4 linked regions of the Drosophila melanogaster genome follow. The protein of the gene in region 2 interacts with the protein of the main gene of each other region in a pairwise test. Each region holds a gene or a part of one and is shown on either strand. Other genes may lie near its edges.

Region 1 (4,851 bases), on a different chromosome or scaffold from region 2:
ATCGGGTATTCCATCTCCATCCAAATCGTTGGCACTTTTCGCGTCCTCTGTGGAATCCAATTCGACAGTTTCAATTTCAATCGTATCTTTCTCATCAACCGCAGAATGCCCACCATCATCGTCGTCATCGTCGTCGTCCCCACGTGGCTGATCGGATTGCAGTTCTCCAGATCCATCCCTGACACCATCTGAAATCGTATGAGTACTCCGATAGATTAATAAAAAAAAATTAAATGGCTAAAAGGATTTTCATTATATTTTAAAAAGATATGACGTTGATTTGTAGCTATATGTTAATTGGTCTATTAATACAATTTATTAACACGTACACGTGTATGAATGTTGATGGTTGAGTTTTTTAAAACATGGAAATTTTAGGATGAATCATTCAATTAAGGAGCAGATTTAATAACTATATTATTAATTCATAAGATGGTTTTAACGCAATTGAAATTCTTCAGATACTCAAGATAGCCCTTACCTGTTTTCAATTCATGAATAGCCTTTTCAATGTAGGGTCGACATTCTGATTCGCTTGGTCCGACATCGGCATTGACAAACCCAACTGAAAATCGTTAAAGAGAACATGACAGGTCAATTTGTAATACGAGTATATCCAAACATACAGCCCAGATATCGGAAAGTCCAAGTTATTTCCAACCGCCCCATCCTAGAACAATGGTCGCACTTTCTCGGTTTGATGTCACCGCCATCAACGAGGTCATTCTATCTGCTCAAACTTGACATTATTTATGGTACTCGTCGAAAGCAAACATACACACTTCGGAATATATATATATATGTATGTGGCGGATTTATGAATTTTATTTTTAAAAGATGAAAACTCAAACACATTTTGCCAGTTTGTGGATGAGTAAATTTCTATACCATTCAGTTGGCTGCTCGCCCACTTTGGCCTTACTTCTTCAGTTTTTGTTTCTTTTGGCCACCTTACTGCTCCGAAAAATCCGGATGCGGGGGCGAACCATTTGCAATGGAACATTCTATTCTCTTTCCACAGCATTTGCTTTTTGGTAATGGAAGGTCGCGTTTTGAGTGATTGGTGGACTGAAAGTATGGTAAGGTCGCTTGGCTAATTACTTTGGAATTTTCAGGCACTTGGGACAAATGTCGTCGAGAGATTAGAGGGATATTCGTACATATATCTGCCAACAACCTGAGCTCAATTAATTGCGATTTAAATGAGTTTGCCTATCAGTTTTCAGTGTGCAGTTTGCTTGTCGGCGGATAATTCTTTTGATTTATTTCTGGGCGTATGTGGGCGGAAGCTATTTGAGCAATTTCGTATTTTTCATTGCTAACCGCATTGATAGAATTATTTATACAAATTTCGCCTGCCAACCGATTGCCAGCCTGCATATTGTGTTTATGTTGCTGCAATCGAGCCCATCTTAACCCATAATATATAGTACACGGCATTTGTGCCGTTGCTCATTTATCATTCAATTTTTTCTTTTTCTTTACTGTTTTGCAAACTTGAGCAAACCAAACAAAATATATAGAGAGACATTTCGCACACACAGGCGGGAAAATAGATAAATGGAAAGCACTCGCTGAGCGCAAATAAAATAACTTAAAAATATCTAAATTTAAAATATTACAAACGATGACAACGATGAGCGGCCAAGCGCAAAAATTCTCAGTTCTCTTAAGAAAAAAAAAATAGGAAAAATCGGCAAAAGTTATACATCTGTATCTGTATCTGTGCTGCCACTAGTTGGTTGGCCAAGTCAAGTGTACGGGGCTATACTAATATACCAATGCTCAAAGTGTCGTCCACTGACGTTTGCAGACACCAATACCGACCCGAAAAAAAAGAAATAGAGAATGTATAGAGAACGCACAAACTCAGGCAAATATTTTTAAACGTATATATTAATACATATTTTTTTCAGACTCGTTTCTTCTGTTTTTCTTGGCTTTTTGTTTTAAAATTGCATAATGCCTGCCCAGGCTGTGTGAAAAACTGTCAAGATATTCGAAAAGTGCCAACTCGCCCTTTTGCCTTATATAACGCGGGGAGGAACTGGGGGTAATACACTGCAAAAAACATTCGAAGTGTACTTACCATTATTGGAAACGGCGATTAACGTTAGTCCCAGTAGGAACCAAATGGTTAGCCGCCCCATAATAATCAACACAACAAATTATCCTCGAGTTTCCAGCGTGGTTAGCACTTTAGCCACGTCATAAATCCTCCTTACAAGTTTTCCGTAATTATGAATAATTAGGGAAAATTAGAATTAACACTTTTGCTCGTATTCTGCATATATATGCATCCGCTATATATGCGCTCGTTTAAATGCACTAAATGAAAAGGATGAAGAATTGGGAAAACCAACGATTATTTAAGGCCAGAGAGCCAATGGATGAATGAATTGGATATATATGTGTGTTTTTTTGGAAGTCCGATGGATATATATAAGTATCTGAGTAGGTATTGAATTGGGTTCGCACAAATTTTGTCACAGTTTCAGTTTCCAATTTTGCACTTGTTCGTTATTTCATTCACTTTGCAGATCGATGGATTTTGATTTAGAATTAAATATCTTAGATTATGGATTTAGAAAGTTTTCGCGCTGCCGTTGGCAAAATTTAACCAACAATCGTCGGCTGGGTAATCCTTAGTGTCCCTTTCGACGATTGTTAGCCAAATAATTTGCTTATTTCTGGCCGTCGTGGTCGTCTTTTCTTTTCGTTTGGGTCGTCTGTGCACGTCGTGTGCGTGTCGTTTTTTGAACAGGGCAGCTCGAATTTTCCCAACACCTATCACATCTATTTTCTATCTAGTCTGAATGTCTGAAGGAAGGAAATTTCGGTTTGCCGTACACGAGTATACGAGACGATCTCTCCCGGTCCAAAACCAATTCGTAACTCAACATGCATATACCATGAATTTACCTTGTGACCGCGAAAATTATTCGATTTTGATATTTTCGTAGCACGAATTTTTGTCAAAAGCACACACAGTTGAGTGAGTGAGTGGCTTTTCACATTCGCCTGATTTGAATTTTCATTTTTATTTCGGTTTCCTCTCGCCGGGTGGCGGCGCTCTCTGCCGGGATTTTGGGTACAACCCGGCGGATACGTGACAAAAAACCTTTGAGGAGATTAATGGGTTTATGGGAAATGGAAATTATTTTCAACATTTCTGAAATATATTATTACCAGTTAGTAAACTTTAATTAGATATTGATGATTAGATATTTTCGTAGCTCTAGATCACTTTCTCTCTCGGCACTTTCGTTTTGGAGGAATGTTTAATTATAGACAATGCGGTGCTCATTCCGCAAATTACTCAGAGCATCTTTTGAGCCAAAAAGAATATTTCGAAATCAAAGCGTTGGCCCCTTTGCGATTTGTTTCGTGTCACAAGTGCTTAGGTTCCATTTCCCTCAAGCTCTCCGCACATGAGTTGAGATTATGAAAACCAAATGTTAGGGATTGAACTTATACATTCCGCTGTAGCATTTATCATTGCTCGCTTATATGGTTGATTGCACCAACAGCTGTTCGTTGGTTGTGTTCCAAGGCTAAAAGTTCTGGTGCAGCCCACCTCACTTCGCCGCGGACAAGTGCAAATCTGTCCCAAGTCATTGCGTTTATTAGCCTAATTAGAAATGGCAAGTCCCCATCTAAAATTGCGGCAGGCCGGGGTGCATTACGTATGCGTAATGGTTATGTAAGACACGATCTGCCTCATCGGGCATTGTTTTATTCTCGAAATGATGGCTCATACATCTATTGAACGGCTCATTTAGTTCTTGGTTTATTGGATTTTAAAATCATATTTATTTTTATGGTTTTCGTCTCGTCTGGTCTACTTTATGACCCTTAGATGCTATTCATTTTAAATACTTAGATACCTAGTTCTAAGTATTACTAGACATATTCCAAACCTATGCTAAAATTTTTCGTTTTAAATAGTTTATGCATATATTTTGGGACAGTTAATGGGCCTCGTTGCCCTTCTCCTTGTTCTTCATTCGACTGCAGTAGTAACGGTCGCTGTTCTCGATCCAATCGCAGACATTCAGGACCGTGTGGAAGGCCGTTCCCTCCTTGCACTCGAATTCAACGGGCTTGCCATGGACACAGCGGAAGTACTGTGGAAATTTTGGAAATATTGTTTTTAAATACGATTTTTTCAGTTTTATAATTAAGTGTTTGTGCTAGAAAATAAACGTATTCCAAAAAACACATTTATTTGTATCTATATTGAACATTTAAAATAAAAGGCCAATTCATTTCATGGCAACAATATACATTTTAGTTTGGTAACCGAAATAAGTCATCCAAATACAAAATACATACCATCGCCTTGAAGTATGCACTACTTTTTTCAAACTATTAGCTCTGAAGAACTTCTTATCCTAAATACTAACCTTTCGGCAATTGGGATGTGGTACAAAGTCACGGTTGGTACAATCGATCTCGTTGGGATCGAACTGCGGTCCCATAGGCTGCTCGGGATCAGTGGGCTCCACTGGATCCACTGGGTAAACAACTTCTTCTGGCTCCTCAGTGCTCTTTTCCGGAGCAGGAGTGGTTGTTGTGGTGGTTGTTGTCTTCTTTGGCTTTTTGGGCTTCTATAGAAATGATATAAATATTAAATATTAAAATATTAAAGAAAAACTTTATCTATAATATAAAACCAGTTAAGCTTTACCTTTGTGGTTGGCTTCGGAGTGCTACTGCCAACAGTTGGAACAGGACCTGGAGCGGATGTTGGGCTCAATGGACTTGAAGTTGGCTTCGGTTTTGGTTTTGGCCGCTTGGTAGTGCTAGTAGTTGGTGCCACCACTGCGCCCTCATCTGGATTTGGCGGTG
Region 2 (4,683 bases):
AGATACATCAGTTATGGCTGGATTGCAATATTGGTTTACCACATGGTACTCACTTGATGTTCAGCACCACCCTCGGCCTCCTCGAGACGCTCGGACATCTGAATGACCTGAACGCTGAGATCGGCTTTCTCGCGCTCGATCTGAAATTTGAAGAATATAAGCAGAGATTAAGAAGAGATTTCATTAGCGACTTGGTATAATGTGAAGGATCTATAAATACCCTGCGCTAGCCATGCTCTGTGGCTACTCAAACAGCCCATAATAAAAATTATAAATCACATTAATCAGTCAAAAATAATTATGCACATGCAACACCTAAAATAACAATGGCATCTTGCCAAGAAATCTTCCACGCAGAGGTGTAGCCATAGTCCGATTGCATCCACGATATATGCGTCTATATATGCGTATATATCTTTTGTGGGCGGCCGCACACCGCTTTCCTAGATTGCATTTCCAAAAAGGCATTCGAACATTTTTCGCTTGAACAGAAACATTTTTTGTTGGCTCCCTCGGAATCTAAACATTTGCTTTTCGCCTTTGTCGACGACCTCGTTTGGTCAATTTTGCGAATTGCAATTAAATGCTATTTTATGAAAGCTATGTGCGGCCATTGGGATTTCTGGTATTTGGAGCTGTCCGAAGCAATCATAAAAAATTCAGCTAACTGAAATGCCCCAAGCTTAAATAAAGAACGTATTGGTCTGATAAATCTCTTTTAAATCTCTCGCTGAATATGTTTGTACATTTATGTTTATGATAATACCTAGGCGAACATGTGTTTGTCCGTTCATTTGGCATAACAAAAAGTTGCCGATTGCCACAAAGGCCACGTAAGTACGGGCCGTAAATCCATTTGCGCCATATGTATCTTGTAGATACATGTTTTTGCCGCCTATATATGCATATGTGGATATGTAGAAAGAATGCCAGGCGGTGTGAAGACTTTTAATGTGCATGAAAATTATTTAATTTTCCCACAGACACACGCCCACAGACAAAAAGCGAAGATTTTCCCGTAGTGAGCGAGCGAATTTTCCTCTCTGCCGCCGCTGATCATGAAGATGGTGATGATGATGACTTTTTGGCTACTTTATTTTCTTTTCTTCTCTGCTCATATTTTGGTTGTTTTCAAGTTAATCATTCGCTTCTCTGTATTGAATGTCGTGCGCTAATTTTAGCCATTTTGTTCCATATATTGTGAGTGTGTGTTGGGGGGCGTTGTATCTGTGTGCGAGTGCGTGCTAATCCATAAGGCACAAAGTAATTAAATTTGATTTTTTAACAAAATTTTCAGAACATTCCTGGCCAGCCCATTCCATTCCGGCAAGAGCTCTTCGCATTTTCTAAATTTGTAACGCCCAAGAGGATTGCGCTGAATGAAGTGCACTTTCGGCCTGCGAATTTTCCCACTTTTCTCTGGCTGTTCCTGACTTTGCTGTCTTTGCGGCCGCTGTCTTTGCAAAGTCAGGGGAAAAATCATTTATCAATGCTCCGCAGGGAAGGAAAAGCCAAAAACGAAAGCGATTGAAGTTCAATGCACATCATTATCATTTACTTTCACACTTTCGAAACTCTACGAAGGGTAGTTTATTCTTAGATTTGCATTTGTTTGCTGACTTTTCTATCGGTTCTATCGCTACTGCTACTTTGGTCTATTTTGATTTTATTTTGGCTTTCCACATATTTTTGCTGTTTTTAGGGTGACATTTGCGAGGTGAAAAAAGTAAAAATGGTTTTCCCTGGCGCTTTGATTTCCATTGGGTCTCGGAGAATGCGGTCTGATCTTTTCTAACTTCCTCGGATATGTCATATCTCTGACGCCGATTTCATCAGCAAATAATCTTATTGACTAAAAACGATGCTCTCAATAAATTAAGAATGTTCAAAAATATTCCAAAGAAACCTATAGTAATACCTTAAAAATACTCGGTTCAAAAATAACTTAAAAATATTTAAAATTATGAATATTTCCATATTGAATGACTCACCCTTTGGCGCAACTCACGTTCAACTTCAAGATCATCTTGGAGCAAACGGATCTTGTCCTGCAAGAAAATGGTGGATACATTTATTGAGTTTGATCTTTTATGGGCTCGTTATTTCATATTATTTGATTAAAACATTCATTAAAAAGCACTTTACAGCACAGTTGATTGATTTCTTCACAAATTTTTCTTCGATGTTTTCTCGTGTATATGTATTGCCCAGAGGTGGCCATTACATAATTTTTTAGCAATGCATATGTATATACAGACACGTTTAGATACATATACAAATCTAGAATTTTGCTTCACCGAATTTTCTATATTTCCACACACAAGAACGCGCCGAGAACTTAACACACGAATATATATCTACGGTATATATGTGCATTTGATATAGAGTGTAGATGAATTTTTCGGGTTTCTTAGTTTGTTTTTCGTATTTTTTCTTGATTATATTCCGATTCTTTTTCAGTCTCTACACAGACACCGAAACAAGAGAGAGAAATTCTCGTAGATTTTGAAGAAAATTTGGCGCACACGCATTTCGTATTCCTATTCCCTGGTCGGAATTCCAACGTCTTTTTGGGGATTTGGTGCCCAATACGATGCCGATTTCTTAAACGATACCGGTCCGCTTCCAATTACGAATTCGAATTCGAGATTCCGAGACGGAGCGGGACGGGATCCTTACCTCCAAGCGGGAGAGCGAGCTCAGGTCCTGGATGTACTCGATGTTCACATCGGCGGTACCGGGTCCGGTGGACGTGGCACGGTAGGAGTATTTCGAGGAGCGGACAGCCTGCGATGACGACATGTTTGCTAGGTCAGATTTTCGATTTTGGTTCTATAAATTAATGTGCGATCGGTTCGCGTATCTAGTATTATGATTTGTGTGTTCCTCTCAAGCGAAAATCTATACAGCACCGCACGCAGTTTTGTAGTTGTCACCGAGTCACCGAGAAAATTCGTAATAAACGTCGGAGTAAGGCTGGTGATCTACTGAACAAGAGATCCCGTTGTCGTTCGAATAAAGAGTATTTCGTTGAATTGGTTTGGCCTGCCAGCTGAATTCGTCTATTTCAACGATTTATTCGGTTCCCTTCGGGAGCCTTCGGTCGCCGTCGGGCGCCATCGGCTCCCCGCCGATCGGATCCGAGTGGGATATACCCTGAGATATATCTATAAGCCACCACCACCACCTATGTGAATGTGAGTGGGACTTTCGAGTGACTTTTCACGCGGCCGTGTTGTTGTGTTAATTGCTCAGTTGTGTGGAAAATTCTTTGATTTTTCATTTCACTTGGGCCGAAGCTTGTGTGAACGCATTTTCACGCTAGTTTGCCTGAGAGCTTGCCCCCTACGAAAATAAACTCAAAAACACGAAGTACGCCTGCTTTTCTTGTCTTTTCTTTTCTATTGCTTACCTGTAATTAGCCTGTGTCATTTGTGCGTTTCATTTTGTGTATCTAGCGTCTGGCCAGAATGTATCTACACATAAATTTTCCCAATTCTCGAACGTACATACATATAAGTCATGTTGAAATATTTGGCATCCTCTGCAGATCATAAAGTTCATAATTTATATTTATTGGCACATTTTCTTGGTTCAGGGGCCTCGGATATTATTTAAAAGGTAGTGCCAAACCAGTATTCCAGCACGTAGTCCCTAGACTATAAAGATTGAGATATAATTCTGGGAGCAAACTTAAATAGAATGATTTGACTTTTGGAAACGGTTTCTAGAACATTAGAACATCTAGAATATTGAATACATTTAAGCGTTAGAGACTATATATGTAAATATTTGAATCGATTGATTTCAAATTGATTTAGCATATATTATTATCAAAAAGAAAAGAGGCTAGAGCATGAAACCCCAGCCAAATATAGAGCCCAAATATATATGCTATACAGATCTCAGGGGTATTACAACATTTTTACACAAGCAGAAAAATCATAAAAGTGTCAAAATTTTCTATGATATGCCTTCTAAATTATTCGCTAACAGCCAATTAGGATTACAGCAATGTTTTCTAAAAATACTTGACTTTTGGCATCGAAACGTGTTATTCGCCAGCATAAATAAATAGACGTAGAGAGTGTGTGAAAAAAAATTGTGCGAAATAAACAAAAATATACAATTTTGAGTGAATCCTTGGCCGTGCGGACAGCAGTCTGCTCAGCCTCAGACAATGCGATGTCATCTAACAATTGTTGTTCAATGGTCACGTAGATGACTGTCTCTGCATTATATCTTTTTGGCAACTGACGGGTCTCTCCATGTGCCCCCATAGTAAATACATATTGTGTAAATAATTTCTGTTACATTGCGAACACGCTTCGTTCGGCGATTTTTGGCTCACTTTTCCAAAGGAACCGAAGCTTTTCGAGTGAAAATTCTCGTTCGTCTTCGAGCGATCTCCTCCACCTGTGCTCCACACACAAACACACATTTGCCTAACTATACTTAAAAATGAATTTTCGCTTATTTTTAGCAACCGAATTTCGTGTTATTTGTGCCTTTTTTCTCGGCTTGCTCATAATCGTGTTCATTTTCCACACACATTTCACCTGAGGCCAACTGACGCACACATCTAGAGCTCTAGATGGGCTAACCATCCTTATATATTAGAGCAGTTTCTTGCTCCGTTCGCATTCGTATCTTTTAGATACTTGGCTCTTTGCTGGCCATAAC
Region 3 (4,318 bases), on a different chromosome or scaffold from region 2:
ACGCTCCGATCTGACAGACACCGAGTGGGCGGTATTCAAGTTCGATGGCGCCCAGATTATTGTACATGCGCGCGGTCAGTGCTTTGAGGAATTCCGACAGCAGTTCGGCGACTCGGAGCGCGCCTTTGGCTACATACGCATCCAGATGGGTGACGAGATGTCCAAGCGCAAAAAGTTCATCTTCCTGACGTGGATCGGGCAGGAGGTGGGCGTCATCCAGAGGGCCAAGATGTCCACGGACAAGGCGCTGATCAAGGATGTCCTCAACGTGAGTAGCCAATAGCTAGAGATGCCAGAGCCCAGAGGCAGAAATAGATCCTCTCATCTCTAATCTCTTGCAGAATTTTGCCGTGGAACTTCAGGCGGGAGTGGAGGCCGAGCTGGACATTGAGCTCTTCCGTGAAGCACTGAACCGTGCCGGCGGCGCCAACTACGGAACGGGCATCCGGGATAACTAAGCGGCCTCCAAGTTACTTTACATATACATTTTTTTTTGCAACTCTTAACTGCTTACCAAACTGCTCCTTTCTCTTTAATTATTATGAATTAATTTTATGAAATTTAAAAACTGTACATTTTATGAAATATTATACAAGCAATTGTAACATTACTGGGTCCTCTTATTTATCGTATAATCATAATCCATAGTGTCATTCAAAAAAGGTAAAAGAAAAGTTTTCAATACCAAATTTCAAGAGCGGATGCAAAATCATTATCAATGCCATACATTTAATTGTGTATATAGTGGGACTGATGAATTACTTTGATGATAAGACAAAAATTTTAGCCACCTAATACTGAATACTGAAGTGGACAGATATGCCAGAATTTGCATTAGAAAATTCAAGTTTCTATAGTAAAGAAATGTTCTCGTTTAAACTAGTCTGGTTTTCTGAACATACGCTGGATGGATCGATTCGAATTTAATAAGCGCGAAATGAAAATGGACTACGTTGTTGAACTAAATACTACGGAGATGATGAAAATGATGAGAAAAATTATCTAGTTGCTTTAGTTCCCGGGCTCTGCCTCTCGCTTCCTAGCGGACCCTGAAGAGTACCGAGTGAAGTGCATCGATGTCCACCTCCACGCCAGACGAGTTTGTGGTCACGGTGCGAGAGCTACGGCCGAGAACGTTGAACAATACTGCTTGGTATCTTTAAAGCATATCACTCACCTGGCTTTGTGCACCGAGCGACGGGAGGAGTGCGGATTAACCAGCACACAGTGCATGGGCTGGTCATCGAACTGACGATGGTGATAGGTATCTACGGCCTTCTCGGCATGTTCCAGTGACTTGTAAATAACTTCGGCGGTGCCGGGACGCACCACACGAGCGTCGTACACTGGGCCGATGTCGCTAAAAAGCTCGCGAATATCCGCAGTAGTCACGTTAGTATGCAGATTGCTCACCAGCAGGCGGTATCCATCCTTTGTGTTCGACGTACGCAGCGACAATGGGGATGGCGAACGGCGCTTGTTCTTCGATGGAGCAGCTGCATCACCATCACTATCAGTACCGCTATCGCTATCCCTAGCACCACCGCCACCAACAGCCTTTCTCCGGTTCTCGTTGGCGTAGATGCCATGAGAAATGTGAGGATCCCTCTTACCGACAAACAGACGAGACCGCAGCGATTCTGGGAGTTTACTTGTGCTTGCTGTGTCGCGGTGGCGGCGCTCGAGAGGCTCCTTGGTGGTATTTGAGCGTCCAACTACGAGTCGGTTGGTCAGCGAAGGACGCTCAATGCGATTGCGGGCCGCCTCGTAAATGGAGAATGCATTGTTATCTATTTTGTTATTTAGTGGGGCCATGGACATCTCCACGTCGTCGCCGCGGTTCAGGTCGAGCCCACCAATTGAGTAGCGTGGCGACGCTTGCTTCATTTGCCCTAAGTGCAGTGTGCGAGATATTTCCTCTGAAAGTAGAAGAGTGCTTTTTAGGAACGGCTTGGCAGAGAAAGGCACTAACTAACCATCCTCGAGGTCCTGCATATTATCAAGATCAATATAGCGTCGTGGAGCAAAGGGTTTGCCCGGCTTATGGGATCTGGGGTCAAAGGTTCGACGCAAGCCGGACAACATGTGGTTACCCAGTTCAACGACCCCGTCGTCCGAGTCCCATTTCGCCTGAATGGTGCCGTCCGCATGGTTTGACATGCTAAGGCGGTGACCAAACTGACCGATGTGCACTCCCTTTCCGCGTGCGCGATGTGATGGCTCAAACGACTCTTCTTCGTCATCAATAAGTATTGGGCCCGCCGAACGGGCCTTCTTTCGCTCCAGCAACAGCTGGCGGGCATCGATGCCCGAGTCGCGCACGCTCTTGTTGATCAGATCCCGGGCATCGGCTATCTTGGCCCGTGTCTTCGCGGCGATCGTGTTTCTGGCATCGAAGGTGCGCTTTGCCGGCGTATCAGAGTGAGATCCTCGGGCACCCGATGGCTTGAAAAAAGGCTTGTTCAGCAGCTGGCGCGGCTTGGAGAAGTTCGCATTGCTGCAATGGAAAACGCATTGAGTGACATTCTATTTTTTCGGCTGTCCTGTAAATGTACTTACAACTTTCTGTCGAGGGGACGATAGCCGCGTTGCCCGCGCTTCCGCTCTATAATCTCGTCCAGACTCAAATCGATGTCCATGGCTCACAGTATACGCTTTTCACACCTTTTCCTAAGCTATGTGTGAAGTAAAAACAACCAGATTCAAATTATCCTGACTATTCGAACTACGTTCGTAAAAAAAAAATAGGACTGGCGTTTCACTGGTGACACTTGGGGTGGCAAACTATCGTCCAGCACTATCGATAGCAACTATCGCTTAAAAACATCTATGTTATTCTGGATATAAAATGTAAAAAAGAAACAGCAATATACTAACACTTATACAAATATACGATTAATACTATTAAACTACTTGTTCATTTACAAAAACAATTTTTGCATGTCTTAACATTAGTTTGTAGAAGATTGAAAATTCTCAGAACTGTCAATGATATATTAAGCTACATAATACGTTTTATCCACTGACATTACGAGTCACTAATTCACAGTGTGCCCCTTCGCACAACCGAGAACAATCGCGCTTAGGTGCTAGCCGACGTCTGGTCTGGTAACACTGATACCTGCGCAACAACAAAAACAACACCACATACTAAAACAAAAACCTCCGTGTGCTCTTCAGTCCTTGAACGCTCACCGGGACTGCCATTGTATGACTTCGATGAACAGAATTTGGCTTCACACTCTCTTCCTTCAGTGTAGGCCATGAGTGCGCCTCTTTTCACCCTTTAGTCGCTTTTTACGACAAGCCGGGAACGCTCAGGTAGTATTCTTCACTCGCCACCACACAGGACACCTGTTCGGGTTTAGCCACCTTCTCTGTTGGCCATCTCGTCTGATCGGACACGTTTAATCATTTTAATGATTAGACTGTGTCCCAGCTCCCATGCCTCGCTCTTTGCCAATATAGCTGCGAACAAGCCACTAGGGCTGAACGGAGCACCTGACTTCGTCTTTAGCTGCTCCCTCTCCATCGCAAACCTGGAGCAGTGCATTAGCACATGCTCTTCTGTTTTCTCACAAATGACGCAGAACAATCGACGTAGATAGGCCCGAATGCAGCCATGGTCCGTGTGAAACTGGGTTAGGTGGTAGTCCAAGCATTTGTGTTGGCACTCTGCCCAAACCGCCGACTCAGGAATGAGCTGGTAAGACCACCTGTTCTGCCACTCACCCAACAGCCACTCGTCGGTAAGCGCCACCCCGCTTTAGGCCGAGAGCCTTGATCTCCGATCAATTGGCGGCCTGCCAGAGTTAGTGCCGCGTCTTCACATATTGTCCTGAATCCTCTAATGAGCCTGAGGGCCATGGCTCCTTTCAGGTATGAACCCCTGCTTGTAGCATTGCTACAGATTGGTGCAGCGTACAGCAGCGAAGCCAGTTTCCTGGCCAGATAGCTTGGACCACCGATGTTGGGCACCAGTCTAGCCAATGAAGAAACTGTGACTGATGCATTCTTGCTGCCGTAACTCGCGTGGTTCTATCATAGCACCCAGGTACTTGAGGGACTCTTGGGAGGTCACCTGTGTCGCATTGACAGAGGACTAGCATATTCTCCACCTTTTTCCTGCTGCTTAGTACTTACTGCTTCGGTCTTGCGAGCCGCTATTGCTAGCCCGGCTTTCCAGTGGACGGCAGCTCCAATCGTGGTGTTACATTTGTCCTGCAACTCTGCAATTGTTTTGGCGACTGCTGTAATTGCCGCATCGTCTGCAAAACAGTGCAGCTCTACTCCCAAGGGCCTGTTGATGCTCCTCTAC
Region 4 (6,443 bases), 330 kb from region 2:
CTCGGGCGGATCTGGAACAGCAGCCAGTGTGCGGCTCGGATGGCAACACCTTCGCCTCCATGTGCGAGTTCAAGCGGCGCACTTGCGATCTGCGTGTGGTGCCCGTTTCGCTAAAGAATTGCGCTTTAACCGCCGACTGCGAATCGGATTGTGATGCCCAGCCGCCAAGTTTCGTCTGCGGATCGGACAACAACTTGTACAAGTCCGAGTGCCACATGCGCAAGGAGAATTGTGGCAAGCATGTTTTCGTGGTGCCACTGAAGCGCTGCCTTGCCGCCTTTCAGCTTAAAGGATGTGCCCGCATCTGTCCCAGGGAATTCGAGCCTGTTTGCGGCAGCGACAATAAAACGTATCTGAACGACTGCTTCCTGGAGATCGAAAACTGCAGGGCGAACCAGACGGTGAACGTCAACTACTACGGCGCCTGTGGCCGCCCCGAAGCACCATCCACTAACTTCCTTTACTAGGACGTATGTATGCGTGGCGTCTTCATTTCACTTGGCATTTAATATTTGTAGGCTATAGTCTTGTATTGTACTTTTTTTAAAACGATATTTATTGAGTTTGAATTAAAGCCCCCCAACGAACTTACAAGGAATGCACTTAAAGCCTGGCCTGCATTTAACATCTAAGCCGAATCATCAAAGAGCTTGCTCAGCATAGCGTTGATCTCGTGCTGTCTGTACTTGACGTATTTGTCGGGATTCTTACTAAAATGCACTCCAGAGTAACTAAAAATGATACAAGATGGTTAGGTATAAGCTGATAAACCCTATATACGCTTACATTTCGTAGAATCTATTGTAGATGGGCAGTATGTGCTCCACATTATCACGTTTGATGCCTTCTCGCAGGATCACATCGGGTATGGAGATGCCCCGCTGGATTTTGCATGCCTCCTCAAAGTCCTTATTGAAGTTCTGGAAATTATAGAGGATGTTTTTTTTTAAATCAAGAAAGTTTAGCTTATTTTAAAAATAAAAACCTACAGAAAATCTCTCTTTGAGCACACTGCGATCCTTATCCTTGACCTTGCCGGCCACTGGTTTGGGCAGTTCATCCAAGGAATAGATGCCGACCAGCATCTTGGACCAGGTCTTTTGATAGCTAGCCTTCAGTTCACGTATCATCTCCATGTAGCTATGTTCGCACTCAGGCTCAGCCAAGGTGACCAAATCAATAAGATTGGAGCGTTGCAGCGACTTGAGGATATAGTGAATGTTATTTAGTCGGAAGAGGTGCTTGGTGGCCTGGTCATTGTACTGCTCGCACTTGTTCATTATGGAAAGATTCAGTTCGGCCAAAGCTTTCTCTGCAAAATATAGATAGTGGTTTAAAAATGTTCGCACAATTGATCTTGTTGCCACTCACTTATGTAAATCGCCAAGAGCGCCTTATTGCGTTCCTCGACTGGCAGCGCCTTCTTCATCAAAATGGTGTCCAATTGCGTGGAGTACAGGACATCCTGTGCCAAAATGGAACCAATAACATCGAAATGATCGTACAAGTGCTCAATAAACCAGATCGTATTGGAGGTCAGCTCGTGCACGGTGGCATCCTTTGGAACATTGCTTTGGCCCACAATATTGGTGCTCGATTCGCCCTTGACTACGTCCAGGAAATGCTCCAATGCCTTGGCACCGGTGTGCTGCAACTTTTTTAGTACTTTTTTCAACTGTTCCCTTTGCGCAGGATCGTATGTGCGGTCAATATCCGGCTGCAGCAGTATAACCCGCTTTAGGGCGGAGAATATTCCCAACGCCGAGGTCCACTCCTTGCGGGAAATGCAGCGCAGGATGCGTTGCGTAATGGCCTCAGCGTCCTTAACCACCAGATCGATGGCATTATAGGCCAAGGTGGCGAATACCTCGTTGTGTTTCGACTGGGGAATAATGTCGATCATGATGGCTCGCTCCCAGTTAAGTAACCGCTGCAGTCCCAGCAACATGACCAGATACTTGTCCAGTTCCTGATCGCCATCCATCAAATCCTCGGAGGTCAGGTGGTCGCTGTGCGATGATGCCTTCTTAATGGAGAACCCTGTGGACTGCTCAATCGTCTGCGTCGCGCGTAAATATAACTTGTTCGCCTTCTTTTCGAATCTATGCAGAATAAATTAAATATATCATATACGAAAACTTGGAAATTAAGTAATATTTCTCACATTTGCTGAAGACGAGCGGAGGTTGTCTTTTTTGGCTCCGTTTGGCGTCCACTGTGTCGCGGTCTCTGCAAGAAAACATTTTAAAAACATTAATTTGAATTGTTAATTGCCATTGCATTAATGTTTCTTCGGAATAATTAAGGTACTAAAATGGTAGCAAATTAAAAACTCTTATTTTTGTAACCTTTTAATATGCATTTGATTCTTATGAGTTTATTAATTTTAAAAATGTGTGTTTTACAAAAGCGTTTATACCCCAATTTTTTTTTTTTTTTTTGACAAAAAGTATTATGCAATTTGCTAGCTTACGAAATAAATTTAAATTTGTAAATGAGCTTCGGAGCAACATTTTAGGAATTACATAGATTCTTAAAGTGTACTAGAGTTTATTATTTAAGGCTAAAAACGACGAGCTTTAAGACACCAGGTCTTTTACAATAATTCTAGAATACCTACTTAATTATCCACATATATTAAAATCACAAAGTTTCTCTTCACATAAAACATTTTAAAATCTTAGTGTATGATAAAAGATGGACATGCCAGCGATTCACTTAAAGAGTGTGGAGCACATCCATGATACGGTTGCAATCCTCATCGGTATTTAGGCCGATTTTAACAAGATCAGCACGCTCCAAGGATGCCAGTTCCACCAGATCGATGTGAGCCTCTTCGAAATTGGTCACATAGTTCTCCAGGCCCATGTGCATGAGAATCTGTTCCACATTGGCGGCATGGTTAACCACGTACGAGTGGTTCGATGCTTTGATGGAACGACGACGCGACTCCAAGGCCAGTGAGGTCTCCATATTCGAGTCATCCGAACAGGTATCCGGGCTGCTGCAGCTCTTTATTTCTCGCTCCGGCTCGATGATCTCCTCCTGCGGCTTGGGCAGCACGAATGGCGGGGGCTTAAGCTGAGTGCGATGGCAGTGCTGATGCTGCTGCTGCTGCTGCTGCTTGGGATGCACCTTCGTTGGCACTTTCTTGAAGGTAGCGAACCGCATGGGCGACACTGGACTCTTCCCCTTCGTGCCCATATTCTCGATGGGCGAGAGATTGGGCGAACGGAAGTTGCCAAAGATCGGAGTAGAGCATCGCACGTTGGAGGTGTTCACCTTCAGGGTGTTCCATCTGCGCTCCTTTAGCGTTGGCGTGCGATTAAGCGTAATTTTGGTCTTGTTCGTGGGCGTGCGAGAATTCTCCATTTTTTTTAGATACTGTGACACAGAAAATGATGCGTTCTTTGCGAATTCAAGCTGGCAAATGGCGGTCATCGAATTGGACATGTAATGCTTACATGCACAAGCTTTTTCGAACAGACACCGTTAACCGAAACGATCAGAGATGGGAAAAGCATACATATGCTCATCATCGTACACATCGCTATTCATATTCTACTACGTACTATTTTTCTCCACATAATATATATGTATTAATACTAGTTAGAATATGAAAGAACTGTTTACTCACCAGAGCCTCGTGACCCCAACTGTTGCTCTTTTGGTGATCCTTGAGCAGCTGCAGCGATCGGAGAACCACTTCGCCCCGTTCCGTCGCGTAGATGTTTGTGTACTCCCTTAAATTTTGCTCCAACCAGTGCGATATGGTGTACAGCTCCTCGCGCGTCGTTTGCGAAAGCTGCCGGAATGAGGTGTATTCATCGCTGGAATCGTCCTCTATGTAGATAAGATCCAGCAACTCCACCGGCTTCAGCGGAGCACTGTGCTTCTTGAGGAGCATACTATAGTGCTGACTCAGGCCTTCGCAGCCGGTGTTAAACAAACTGGTGACATTCTCCAGCTCCACGCTCTGGGAATTGTTGTGCCGGAAGTAATCGTTGGCATCGCGCAGTTTGGCTAGTGCGTCGAGGAACACCGAGATGTTTCCCTCCACCGGGCCTTGATGAATCAACTGGCAGACCTCTTGGGAGACATCGTAGTGGGACAGGACGCTTTCCAGACAATTGAGAGTAGCTTCCAGATCTAAAAAAAAAAAGAGGCGGTGACACATTAGTTTTTTTTTTTTGAAATCCCATTGAGTTTATTTTCATACTCTGCTGCCGTTTCTGGAGCTGCTCCGTCTCCTGGTAGACGGGCAATATGGTCTGCTCCAGGTTTCCCAGGCGCTTCTCGAAGATTGTTAGAATACTGGACATTTGCGTGGACAGATCATGGTATTTATCCACTCGATCTTTCAGCAGAGCTAAATTGGTGGCTTCCTATGAGGAAAATGGGTAAGTATGGAGGTTTTGAGCATGACAACTAGACATACCTTCTCCAATTTATTGTGCGCCTGCAATGAACTGTCCAAATTGTTCATTTTCAAGCGTATATGTAGCTAAAATCCTTTAAAAACAAACAATAGTTCTGATATAAAAAACAATTCTATTTTATTTTGTTTTGACGAAACTAGGCATTTATGCACACTGGCTTTGGTCATACTGTCAATTACCGCGTTGCCAACTACTTTGCACGAAAAAAAAAATTATAACGGTCATTTCAGATAGTAATAGAAACTTTTTTTAAATATTGTACACTTAGACAATTAGGTAAACGATAATGAGGCTATGTTTTAAATAAATTGTTTTTACTACTAGTACTAGTTTATTAGTCAAGTCCTAGTTTTAAAAGCCAAAACTAACGGAAAAACCCGCCAAACTGCCATCTCCAGCCAAGACGCCAACTTTTGTTGTGGTTGGTTGCCATGGAATCTGTGTGTAAACAACGCACCTGCATTTAGGAATTTCTACCAACTATGCAGGATTAGCCAATTCGACTTCTGCAACAATGAGGGGTGTTCTCAAGTGGCTGGAACGCATAGAGTTTCCCAATAGCAAAGACAATGAGATCAGGTAAAGCTTTCTCATTCGTGGAAAACAACAACCTGTTGCTTGCTATAACGCCATAACGGTATTTGCAAAACCCAATTTTCCAGTGTCCACAATGTGTGCTACGCACCCGATGGCAGCCAATTGGTGGTGGCTGCGGGGGATCGGTTGCTCATCTACGATCCAAACGATGGCTCCTTGCTGAACACCTTGAAGGCGCACAAGGATACGGTCAATTGTGTGGCCTACTCGCGGGATGGCAAGCGGTTCGCCAGCGGAGCCTCCGATAAAATGGTCATCGTGTGGTCACCTCAGCTTGAGGGACTGCTCAAGTATTCGTGAGTTCTCAGCACACTTGCAATAAATTCTAGTTTTTTATATAAATATAAAAATATATTTACATTCATAGGCACGGTGACTCCATACAGTGCATGAGCTTCAATCCTGTTTCGCACCACCTGGCCTCGTGCTCCTTGTCGGATTTTGCCTTTTGGTCGGCTGATCAGAAGGCGGTGCAAAAGTACAAGATATCCGCGCGTGTCAATGGCTGCTCGTGGACCAATGATGGACAGTACCTGATCCTGGGCCTGGCCAATGGCACCATATCCATTAGGAACAAGTTGGGCGAGGAGAAGGGGAGAATCGATCGGCCTGGTGGGCCCAACAGCAACGTCTTCAGTGTCCAATGTTGTCCGGCCAGCGGTCCTGGCAGTGTGGACACCATCGGTGTGGTGGACTGGAGCCAAACGCTATCCTTTCACACTCTGAGCGGCCAGATGATTGGCAAGGAGCGAACCCTGGGCTTTGATCCCTTGTGCCTGCAGTACTTTCCCAATGGGGAGTTCTGCCTGGTGGGCGGCTGCACTGGAGGTCTACACTTCTTCACCAGGGAGGGCATTCGGCTGGGTACGTTGGGCGATACCTTTGACACCTGGATCTGGACAGTTGCCCTACATCCCAATGGTCAATCCTACACCATTGGGTGTCAAGATGGAACCCTGGCCTGCTTCAACATTGCGTCTAGTACCGTGCATGCCCTCTACCGCGAGCGCTATGCCTTCCGGGAAAACATGTGCGACGTGATCATTCAGCACCTGATCTCTGGCCAAAAGGTGCGCATCAAGTGTCGAGATTTAGTTCAGAAAATAGCCATTTATCGGAATCGACTGGCGGTTCAGTTGCCGGAACGTGTGGTTCTCTATGAGCTGAGCTCTGGAGAGGATCAACCCATGCACTATAAAGTGCGCGAGAAGATCCAGCAAAAGTTCGACTGCAGCTTGCTGGTTGTTTGTGGCCGTCACATTGTCCTGTGCCAGGAGAAGCGTCTCCAATGTCTGGATTTCATGGGTGTCCTGCAGCGCGAGTGGATCATGGACTCGTTCATAAGATACATCAAAGTCACCGGTGGCCCCGTGGGAAGAGAAGGACTAATGGTGGGCTTGAAGAACG

Evidence for each region.
Region 1: the proteins of Prm (region 2) and CG9297 interact in a two-hybrid assay, tested with the Drosophila melanogaster proteins (one large-scale study listed by BioGRID).
Region 3: the proteins of Prm (region 2) and CG18259 interact in a two-hybrid assay, tested with the Drosophila melanogaster proteins (one large-scale study listed by BioGRID).
Region 4: the proteins of Prm (region 2) and Exo70 interact in a two-hybrid assay, tested with the Drosophila melanogaster proteins (one large-scale study listed by BioGRID).

Annotation. Positions count from the first base shown.
Region 1 is NT_033777.3:13,769,649-13,774,499, reverse strand, and holds the start of CG9297 (uncharacterized protein), read right to left. Parts: upstream 3,006-4,851; 5' UTR 2,923-3,005; intron 2,904-2,922; exon of another isoform or gene 2,851-2,903; intron 2,633-2,850; exon of another isoform or gene 2,479-2,632; intron 2,329-2,478; 5' UTR 2,151-2,328; coding exon 2,090-2,150; intron 566-2,089; coding exon 482-565; intron 189-481; coding exon 1-188. Other genes in the region: Cht5 (chitinase 5), read right to left, coding at 3,972-4,127, 4,407-4,610, 4,691-4,851.
Region 2 is NT_037436.4:8,742,284-8,746,966, forward strand, and holds the start of Prm (paramyosin), read right to left. Parts: upstream 3,028-4,683; 5' UTR 2,803-3,027; coding exon 2,680-2,802; intron 2,049-2,679; coding exon 1,992-2,048; intron 141-1,991; coding exon 54-140; intron 1-53. UniProt on the Drosophila melanogaster protein: Paramyosin is a major structural component of many thick filaments isolated from invertebrate muscles.
Region 3 is NC_004354.4:18,780,737-18,785,054, forward strand, and holds CG18259 (uncharacterized protein), read right to left. Parts: upstream 2,759-4,318; 5' UTR 2,640-2,758; coding exon 2,560-2,639; intron 2,498-2,559; coding exon 1,977-2,497; intron 1,920-1,976; coding exon 1,178-1,919; intron 1,122-1,177; coding exon 1,040-1,121; 3' UTR 529-1,039; downstream 1-528. Other genes in the region: CG6891 (uncharacterized protein), read left to right, coding at 1-268, 342-458.
Region 4 is NT_037436.4:8,410,004-8,416,446, reverse strand, and holds Exo70 (exocyst 70), read right to left. Parts: upstream 4,597-6,443; 5' UTR 4,487-4,596; coding exon 4,439-4,486; intron 4,401-4,438; exon of another isoform or gene 4,386-4,400; coding exon 4,220-4,385; exon of another isoform or gene 4,150-4,219; coding exon 3,638-4,149; exon of another isoform or gene 3,622-3,637; intron 3,436-3,621; exon of another isoform or gene 3,373-3,435; coding exon of another isoform or gene 2,719-3,372; exon of another isoform or gene 2,344-2,718; intron 2,230-2,343; coding exon 2,165-2,229; intron 2,103-2,164; coding exon 1,372-2,102; intron 1,313-1,371; coding exon 990-1,312; intron 921-989; coding exon 787-920; intron 732-786; coding exon 629-731; 3' UTR 537-628; downstream 1-536. Other genes in the region: CG32354 (uncharacterized protein), read left to right, coding at 1-467; mtrm (matrimony), read right to left, coding at 2,719-3,372; Oseg1 (outer segment 1), read left to right, coding at 4,954-5,018, 5,102-5,332, 5,404-6,443. UniProt on the Drosophila melanogaster protein: Required for exocytosis. Thought to function in intracellular vesicle targeting and docking before SNARE complex formation.